Linked DNA regions of Daphnia pulex. The protein of the gene in region 2 purifies or fractionates together with the protein of the main gene of each other region. This does not show direct contact. Links are inferred from orthologs where the notes say so. Each region holds a gene or a part of one and is shown on either strand. Other genes may lie near its edges.

Evidence for each region. Proteins that work in one complex are often made in the same cells at the same time.
Region 1: the proteins of histone-binding protein N1/N2-like (region 2) and histone acetyltransferase type B catalytic subunit-like purify together in Homo sapiens (affinity purification with mass spectrometry; 3 studies listed by BioGRID and IntAct, with this or other methods). This does not show direct contact. The link is inferred for Daphnia pulex from reciprocal best matches to the Homo sapiens genes NASP and HAT1.

The regions. Positions count from the first base shown.
Region 1 is NC_060025.1:914,212-918,193, forward strand, and holds histone acetyltransferase type B catalytic subunit-like, read left to right. Parts: upstream 1-1,463; 5' UTR 1,464-1,676; coding exon 1,677-1,683; intron 1,684-1,785; coding exon 1,786-1,854; intron 1,855-1,917; coding exon 1,918-1,993; intron 1,994-2,056; coding exon 2,057-2,180; intron 2,181-2,237; coding exon 2,238-2,379; intron 2,380-2,451; coding exon 2,452-2,608; intron 2,609-2,670; coding exon 2,671-2,882; intron 2,883-2,948; coding exon 2,949-3,100; intron 3,101-3,162; coding exon 3,163-3,279; intron 3,280-3,341; coding exon 3,342-3,482; downstream 3,483-3,982. Other genes in the region: methionine aminopeptidase 1D, chloroplastic/mitochondrial-like, read right to left, coding at 44-154, 245-395, 479-534, 605-740, 828-1,059, 1,122-1,225. UniProt on the Homo sapiens protein: Histone acetyltransferase that plays a role in different biological processes including cell cycle progression, glucose metabolism, histone production or DNA damage repair. Coordinates histone production and acetylation via H4 promoter binding.
Region 2 is NC_060017.1:1,803,476-1,807,638, forward strand, and holds histone-binding protein N1/N2-like, read left to right. Parts: upstream 1-1,424; 5' UTR 1,425-1,613; coding exon 1,614-1,699; intron 1,700-1,769; coding exon 1,770-1,996; intron 1,997-2,056; coding exon 2,057-2,603; intron 2,604-2,675; coding exon 2,676-2,831; intron 2,832-2,890; coding exon 2,891-3,013; intron 3,014-3,077; coding exon 3,078-3,471; 3' UTR 3,472-3,663; downstream 3,664-4,163. UniProt on the Homo sapiens protein: Component of the histone chaperone network. Binds and stabilizes histone H3-H4 not bound to chromatin to maintain a soluble reservoir and modulate degradation by chaperone-mediated autophagy.

The DNA of each region.
Region 1 (3,982 bases), on a different chromosome or scaffold from region 2:
CAAAATTAAAAAATTGCGCCAAAAAACCATAGTTTCTTCATACTGAAGTGATATATATCTGGAGCTCCATGGAAATAGGAGCCGATTCCGTGCCCTGTAAACGCCGGAACAACTCGGAAGCCATGTTTTCGGGCACAAGCGTCAATGACTGCGCCTTTAATAGTTGGACAGAATGGTTAACAACAATGTTCTGTCATCAGCGCAAGAGCAAAAAAACAAACAGACTTTCAATGATGTTGATTACCGATATTGTTATATGGTCTCCCCGGATGACATATTGCCACAGCTTCATCTAGGCATATTTTGGTGACATCCACTAATTCCTTTCCTTGTTCATCGACATCACCAACTAGGAAAGTCTCTGAAACGTCGCCGTGGAAACCGTTTAGATACACCTATGGTACGAATTTCAATAAGTCTTCATTATTCGTATCAAATTGACGGAAAAAAAACACAAAAAAAACAATTTACAACTCACAGTGACATCCACATTTATAATATCTCCATCAATTAAAGGTCTGTCATCAGGTATACCTAAGTTGGAAAATGCACAATAAGTAAAGCTCAAGCATATAATAGATATTAATTCCAAAATAGTACAAACCATGACACACAACATTGTTTACAGAGGTGCAAACAGACTTTGGAAATCCCTTATAATGTAGAGGTGATGGGTAAGCTCCGTGAGAGATAATAAACTCATACACACATTTGTCAATTTCCTCAGTTGTAGTTCCAACCTGTAAATCCAAACATACTGTTTAGATATATTTCTGTTTCAATCATGCCATGTTACCAATTCGGCAATTCCTAATACATTCTTTTACCTTAACCAGCTCTTTTGCGTACCTCAGGGTATTTTTTGCAAGGCTACAGGATGCCCTCATGCATTCTATCTGTGTGCTGGATTTGATCTCTGGTTGAGCAGAACTAGGGAATGTGCCATTTACATCATTTATGTACGGTGGCTTCACAATATTTGATGGAACACATCTTGGCTCCAGAACTACATGGCCTGGTTTCTTTATAACTTGGTAATTTCCGAAATTTTGATTTTTCCTGTTAAAAATGTTTAGTTATTTCTATATATTTATCAGGTTTTAATGAGATAGCAAAAATACTTAAACCAGGAGATATTTCTTATATTCCGTTTTATTTGCATTAGGTTTTGTGACGATGAGAGTGTGCTACCAAGTGAAGTAGCCCATAGTCTTTTAAATAGCATATCTGTCAAAATCTTATTTAAGTAAGAAAGTGTTTAGGCTAGTATTTGAATAATTTGTTAATTTTGTTCTATAAAATCGAATTTGACTGAGTGTTAAGCAGAAGAAAACTCAGGCTTTGTTGACATTTCACAAAAGATTTTTGTCTGCTACATATAACGCGGGAAAAAGAGCTATCGCCATCTACTGTGTGCAATTATCACTATCATTGCATTAGGGTTTCTGCAACCTCCTTCTTCTTTTAAGTTGTTTGGGCTAGAGAACATGGATCTCCAAATCGGTTGCCCAATCCCTCCAACAACCTTTTTCGCGGTCAGTAGTGATTCAGTAGTGATTCAGTTCGTCAGAAGTTTTTGCATGCCGCCCGCCTGTGCATTTTAGAAAGTAGCAAATTATTATTAGCACTTGTTAAGTCATAGTGCAGCTTAATTTATATTAACTATTCATATTGAAATGGAAGGTAATGCATTTCATAGGAATTTGTTTTAGAATATTACAAAACAACTTCCAACATAATTCATTACACCAAAATGCTTGCTAACTTTTCTTTTTACGTTGCTAGGTTCTTACAAAAAAAATGTACTTCAGTCATTCATCATCGATTCGAACGAAGCTCTAGATTTTAAGTTAGGTAAGGAATTTAATTTATTGCTAAAGCTTTTACTGAATCATGCAATTTTTTTAATTTATACAGTTCGAGAACCTTCTGATGTTGATAATGATGAAACTACCTTCAAACCAGAAATGTCTCATCAAATTTTTGGAGAAAAGTATGTCCAAGTAAAAACATTGAGAATCATTTAATCAATTATAAATTATTTTGTTTCCCCAAGTGAAAGCATATTTGGTTACCAGAACCTCAAAATTAGCTTGTACTACACTGCAGGAAAACTAAACACATACCTTGGAATGAATTACAGTAAAAAAGTTGATCCCAAGCAATTTGAAGGAGCTACAGTGAGTCCCCTTTTTATTTGAATTGTGTGATGTATTTGAACTACTTTACATTATTAGGCTGATGATGTAATGGGAGCCATCACTCCTAAACTTCCACCTGGTTACATGACTAACCTTGATGACTTTCTCGTAACCCTAAACAAAGAACAAAGCTTCAAACCTCCTGGTGAACTTCTTTCAACATACTCTATAAACAAAGGTACTAATACTACAGATTACAAAGGTTCACAGATTTTGTAGATGCTTTGAGTCATCACAATCCCATTTCCAGGTTCGGCCGCAGAAAAGAATTTTGAATTGTACAGTTGTACGATAGAAGAACCTAGTTTTCGATCATACCACGAGCGATTGCAAACTTTCCTCTTGTGGTATGTGGATGCAGCTAGCTTTATCGACGTTGATGATGACCGCTGGCGCTTTTACTTAATGTAATAACTTTTAGATATTCATCTAATCCGATGTTTTTCATTTGAGACTGTATCTTCTGCAGATTCGAAAAATATCCTTGTGATGGAAGTCATCGATATGCTCTGTGTGGATATGCCACAGTTTACCTTTATTTTGCTTATCCTAATAAAACTCGGCCTCGCATCAGCCAGTTCTTAGTTTTGCCACCTTTTCAACGCGTAGGTCTTGGAGCAGAACTTCTAAACACCATTTATCGTTCATTTCTTAAGGATTCCAACATACTTGACATCACAGGTATGTATCAGTGTTAACAGATGTTTGGAGAATTGTTACTCATGCTTTGTGTCTATTTTTTAACAGTTGAAGATCCTTCGGAAGAATTCACTCGTCTTCGTGATTTTGTCGACGCTCAAAATAGCAAAAAACTATCGTCTTATTCTAAAGAAAAACTTCAACAAGGATTTAATGCTGAGATGGTGGAAGATGCTCAACGAGAGCTTAAAATCAACAAAGTAATATTAATAACTTGGTTTCACAACTGACTCTAAAATTGTTATGCTCCAATTGTATTCAGAAACAAGCAAGGCGTGTTTATGAAATCCTTCGTTTCGAGGCAACCAACCTAGCGGATGTCGAAGAATATCGTGCCTATCGCTTAGACGTAAAGCGTCGCTTGAATATTCCCTATCAGGTGGGTCCGAGCTTGTTCGATTAATCAAATTATACCCAATATAATTTACTTTTCCATTACAGAAAGAAGCATCAGATTACAAGAAATTACAAAAGGCCCTCAATGCAGAGGAACTTCGCTCTACCCTATCTACTTCAACTAAGGAACAACGGATTGAAAACCTGGACAAGCAATATCAAATGCTAGAAAATGAGTACAGGTAAAATTCCTACTAAGCTGGGAAAACATGTTTGGATTGTCATTTGTCATTGATCTGCTTCAATAGTAAACACTTACTGCACGTGGCACATCAAATCAGGTTACTGCGCCCTATAATTTTGCTTTCATAATACATTTTAGTCGCTAAAATTTGACAGTAGCCTTATCTTGAGTCGAAGTGGCCTTGGATTGATATTTAAAAAAAAGCAACTGATCGTCTGGTTGTGTGTGGTTAATATAATCCCTAATGCGTCATTTCTTATTGATGTAACTCATTTACTGTTAAGTAATGTTTCTTTTGCTTATGTATTCACGTACAAAATATTCTGTGAACTATAATTATTAAATGCGTTTGATTCGAATCATCATGAACATGAAGTCATGATTAAAGCAGTCTCTTCGGTATTACTTTTTGAACAGAGCGCCATTACCCATTATTATTTCATCAGACACCTAGTGGAGAAATCATGTACTGTTTCCTGTGCCAACTACCATATTGGATATT
Region 2 (4,163 bases):
ACAGTACCATTTCTTTTAAAATAATCCGTACAATATTAATAATTTTATGAATAGTTTTTTTTTTTTTCATTTATATCGATCTGTGTTCCATTTGTAATTTTGGCGTGAATGTGTCAAGAGATCTAACCGCAAGTCGGGACGGTCGTTGTCGTTGTTAAACAATTTGAATTGTAGATTAATTCAAAGTAAAATTTTAGAGGAGAAACGAAACATGTACTTGCATTGAAAGTGAACCTTGCCGAGGGTCTATTATTGACTGTACATTTTGTTTGGCAGTGCAGTGATTCGCCCGATTTTGTTTACTTTTGATTCTTGTTATCTAACTGCATTCTGAACATTCCCGATGCACCTGTCTGCCAGCCACACAACGACACCGATCATTCCAAAATATTTGATAGGCATAAATGTTGTTGTTGATTGTGCTTCGAATTTCTTTCCCCAATTTTTGTTTCGTTCAATCGTACATTTCCCATGTGTGCCGTAGTCGTGATGTGTTTTGTATATGATTCCCTGAGAGAGAGATAAAATTGCGTGTGTATTTAAGACAAGCAAATAAGCGTTCCACACCATTCCACCACGCTGTTGATGACCCCCTTTTTTTCTTTCACAATGTGGAACTCGGCTATTGTTTTCTGATGGATTTTTTGTTTCCGCCTTCATTTCTACAAGCGCTGCTGTCATTCCATTTTCTTTATCTGCGTGAGACTTTATCGTCATGCCTTGTTCTCTACACTTGTTCATTTCCCTTGTTTTCGTAATCGAAATACCTGTTTCACTTCATCGTCCATTTTCTCTAGCAACTTCCTTCACTTTCTTCGTCTCCAGCTAATGCAGCTCGTCTTATTTTGATTGTGGTCAAATGTGTAGCATTTTATTGGGATCGGCTCTGCTGGCCAGCAAAGTGCTTCTGCTCCAATGATTCGTTCTGTTTGTCTTTTTTTTTCAAGCATTTGAGCATTACAAAGTGTTTGCTCCCATAACAATCAAACTCAACGACTTTCATTATTTTTTTTGTTTAATTCACGGAACAAACAATTTGTTTGAATCAGCGGGTTGGTAAGAAATTAGTCGGTTGGATTATTATTTAAAATTACTAGCTGTTATAAAATCACGATTTAAAAATGTTTTTAAAGAATTAGATAGCACAGTTAAATTTACCCCCAAATTTAAAAGTTTTATAATTGCAACGTTGTCTAGTCAGAAAGATAAAACAGTTCAATCCATATGGAATTATTGATTACGATTTAGAACACGGAACAAAGGTGTAGAATAGCAAGCATGAAATCCTCACAAGATTTTAAACTAATCTCTCTCATTTCAACTTCAATCAAATGTATTTACTTAGTTCATGAGTCATGACACTTGCGAAAAACACAATTTTTCTTCCCTAGAGGGTGTTATCGTCCGTTTCCCGCCAACGTGTTGTGCACTGTCGCCCCCTTTAGTCTGATGGAAAATCGAAACGTCTGCTGAATCCACTTCTCCTAGACTCATACACCCACAGATTAGTTGTCAGTTCAGTTGTCACGCACCGGCGTGTTCCATTCAACGGTTTTTCCCCCATTTAATCTTTGGTAGCGTTTCACTTCTAAATTCTAATACGTAAAAATAAAATGGCAGAAATTCCAACCACCACGAATGGGATATCTTCTGAAACTGCCAGTGCTAGCGGCCCTGTAGAATCTTCTTCTAAAAAAGAGTATGTAACTACGTCTTTATATTTGCTAACACGTGACAAGGGAAGATTCATCTTTGCCGATTTTATGCAGGCAAGTTACCGAGATTGCCATGAATCTCTTAGTGCAAGGTCGCCGACATCTTCTCGTGTCAGACATTCCATCTGCCATTGCTGCTTTGGCTGAATCAGTTCAGTTGCTTGCCGAACAGTATGGAGAGTTTGCTGATGAGTGTGCCGAGTCCTACTACTATTATGGCATGGCTCTTCTTGAGATGGCTCGCACTGACTGTGATGTGCTGGGAGATGCTGTTGAAGGAGGTGATTTATTGTATTTCATTTACATATTTCTCGTACTTATACTTTGTACCCTGCTCATAGGTGACAGAACTGAAGGGGAAGAAGGAGAGTCGGAGGATGAAGAAAATGGTGATGATGAAGAAGAAAGCGAGGAAGAAGAGGATTCTGGTGAAAAGTCCATGAATGGTGATGTTGAGACAAATGACAAAACTGATAAACCAGATGATTCTGAAGTTAAAGAGAAGACTAAAGTTGCTGATGTAAAATCTACCACTGAAACTGCTCAATCTAAACCTGAAACTGCCAAACCTGCTGCTTCTGAAGCAGCAAATGTGGCTAAAGCACCAGATGTTGAAATGAAGGAAAGCGAACCTTCATCAGAACACACAAATGGACAAAACTCAGAGTCCAAAGCTGAGGAAAAAACTGATACTGCTCAAAATGGAGAAAAATCTGTCGCCAAACCTAAGAATGAAGCAAAGGGCAAATCTTTGAAAGCTGCTGGCAGTTCTTCAGGAGAGAAAGTTGATTCTGTTGCGGATGATGATGTTGATGTCAACACAGATGAAGTACCTAACCTTCAGTTGGCTTGGGAAGTGTTCGAAATAGCAAAAAATATATATCAAAGGTAATTTTCTTTTTCTTTTTTTTTTTTTTACTAAAAGCTTTTCACTTATTATCTTATTTTTTATTTATCCAGGAAAGCCGAAACAGATCCTGCGGCCAAGCCAAAACTTGCCGACGCTCTTATTCGATTGGCTGAAGTAGCAATTGAATCAGAAAACTATACTTCAGCTATAGAAGATTTGCAAAAATGTCTCGAGATTCAAAAAGCTTCGTTCCCAGCAGATAGCAGGTTTTAAATTTTTAATCTATTGGGCAAACTCTCCCTTTACATATTTATTATTCCTCTAGATCATTGGCTGAAACGCACTATCAACTTGGTGTTGCGTTCACTTTTACTACCGAATTCAAAGAAGCGGTTCGTAGCTTTGAATCAGCTGCCAGTGTCATTCAGTTGAGAATTGACAACCTCAAGTAAGTTAGTCTAATTTGATTTTTCATGTAATTGCCATTTTTAATATGAAGTTTGACATCTCAGGAATCCTTCTGAAAAGAAACCTTCTATGGAGGAGCCCAAGAATTTGTTTCACACCATTGAGGGGGAGATTGAGGAGCTGGAAACTCTGCTACCTGATATTCGTGACAAAATTGGCGACACCATCGATTTAGAAAAGGAGGCAATCCGGAAGTTGGCTGAAAACGGCAACAATGGAGCAGGCACTTCCAGCAGTGCTGATGGGGCGAATGGTAGCATGGAAACTGATGTGGCTATGCTGTCTGGAGAATCTCCAAATTCAGGAAAACCAGCCACGGATATTACACACTTGATCCGAAAGAAGAGGAAGCCAGATGATAACGTAGGAAGTGAGTCGTCAGTAGCCAAGAAAATCTGCCCAGATGGTGCAGTTGTTGCCGATGCTACTTCTGTTTGATGGGAGAAAAGATGATTGCGTACATTTTCCCCTGTGCTCTTGTCTCAACTCGGTTTTTTTAACTTTCGCTAATATTCATCGTAATCGATAATACAACTTACATGTTTTCTGTAGTATTTATCACACACAAGGTCCAATGTAAGTCTATGTAAGCTGTAACCATGCGTTCTACGAAGAAATGTGTCAAAATAATTCTAATTTCGTACAATTATTTCTTTGCTTGGATACTGATATTTTTCAATCATTTCCATTACTTTACTATGTGATCAAAAAAAGCAAGCGAGTTTAAATTATTTGGGCTCATTTGGAGAGCCATAGCATTGGCCTAGGCTATGGAGACCAAGTTGGGACCGGATCGGGTGAAATAGGGGCTCCTTATCTCTTGCCAAAAGATTTACACTTGGAACAATGAGAGAAAATGCCAGAAAACCACAGAAAGAATTTGCGTTATAACGACACAACAAATAAAAGTAAGAGTTACTTAACAAAATCGCATTTTAGTTTAAAAATCAGGCTTTATACCACTAACGCAGACTAAAACGTAAACATTAAGTCAGAATAGTGAACTACGTAATCAAGTGACAAATAACGAACCGCGAAGTGAATTTCTACCGTAGTATTCAATTCGAATTGCGGCTTACGTCGTGATTTCATTTAGGAGTCGTTAGTCAAAGATTCATTTACAGTTTTAG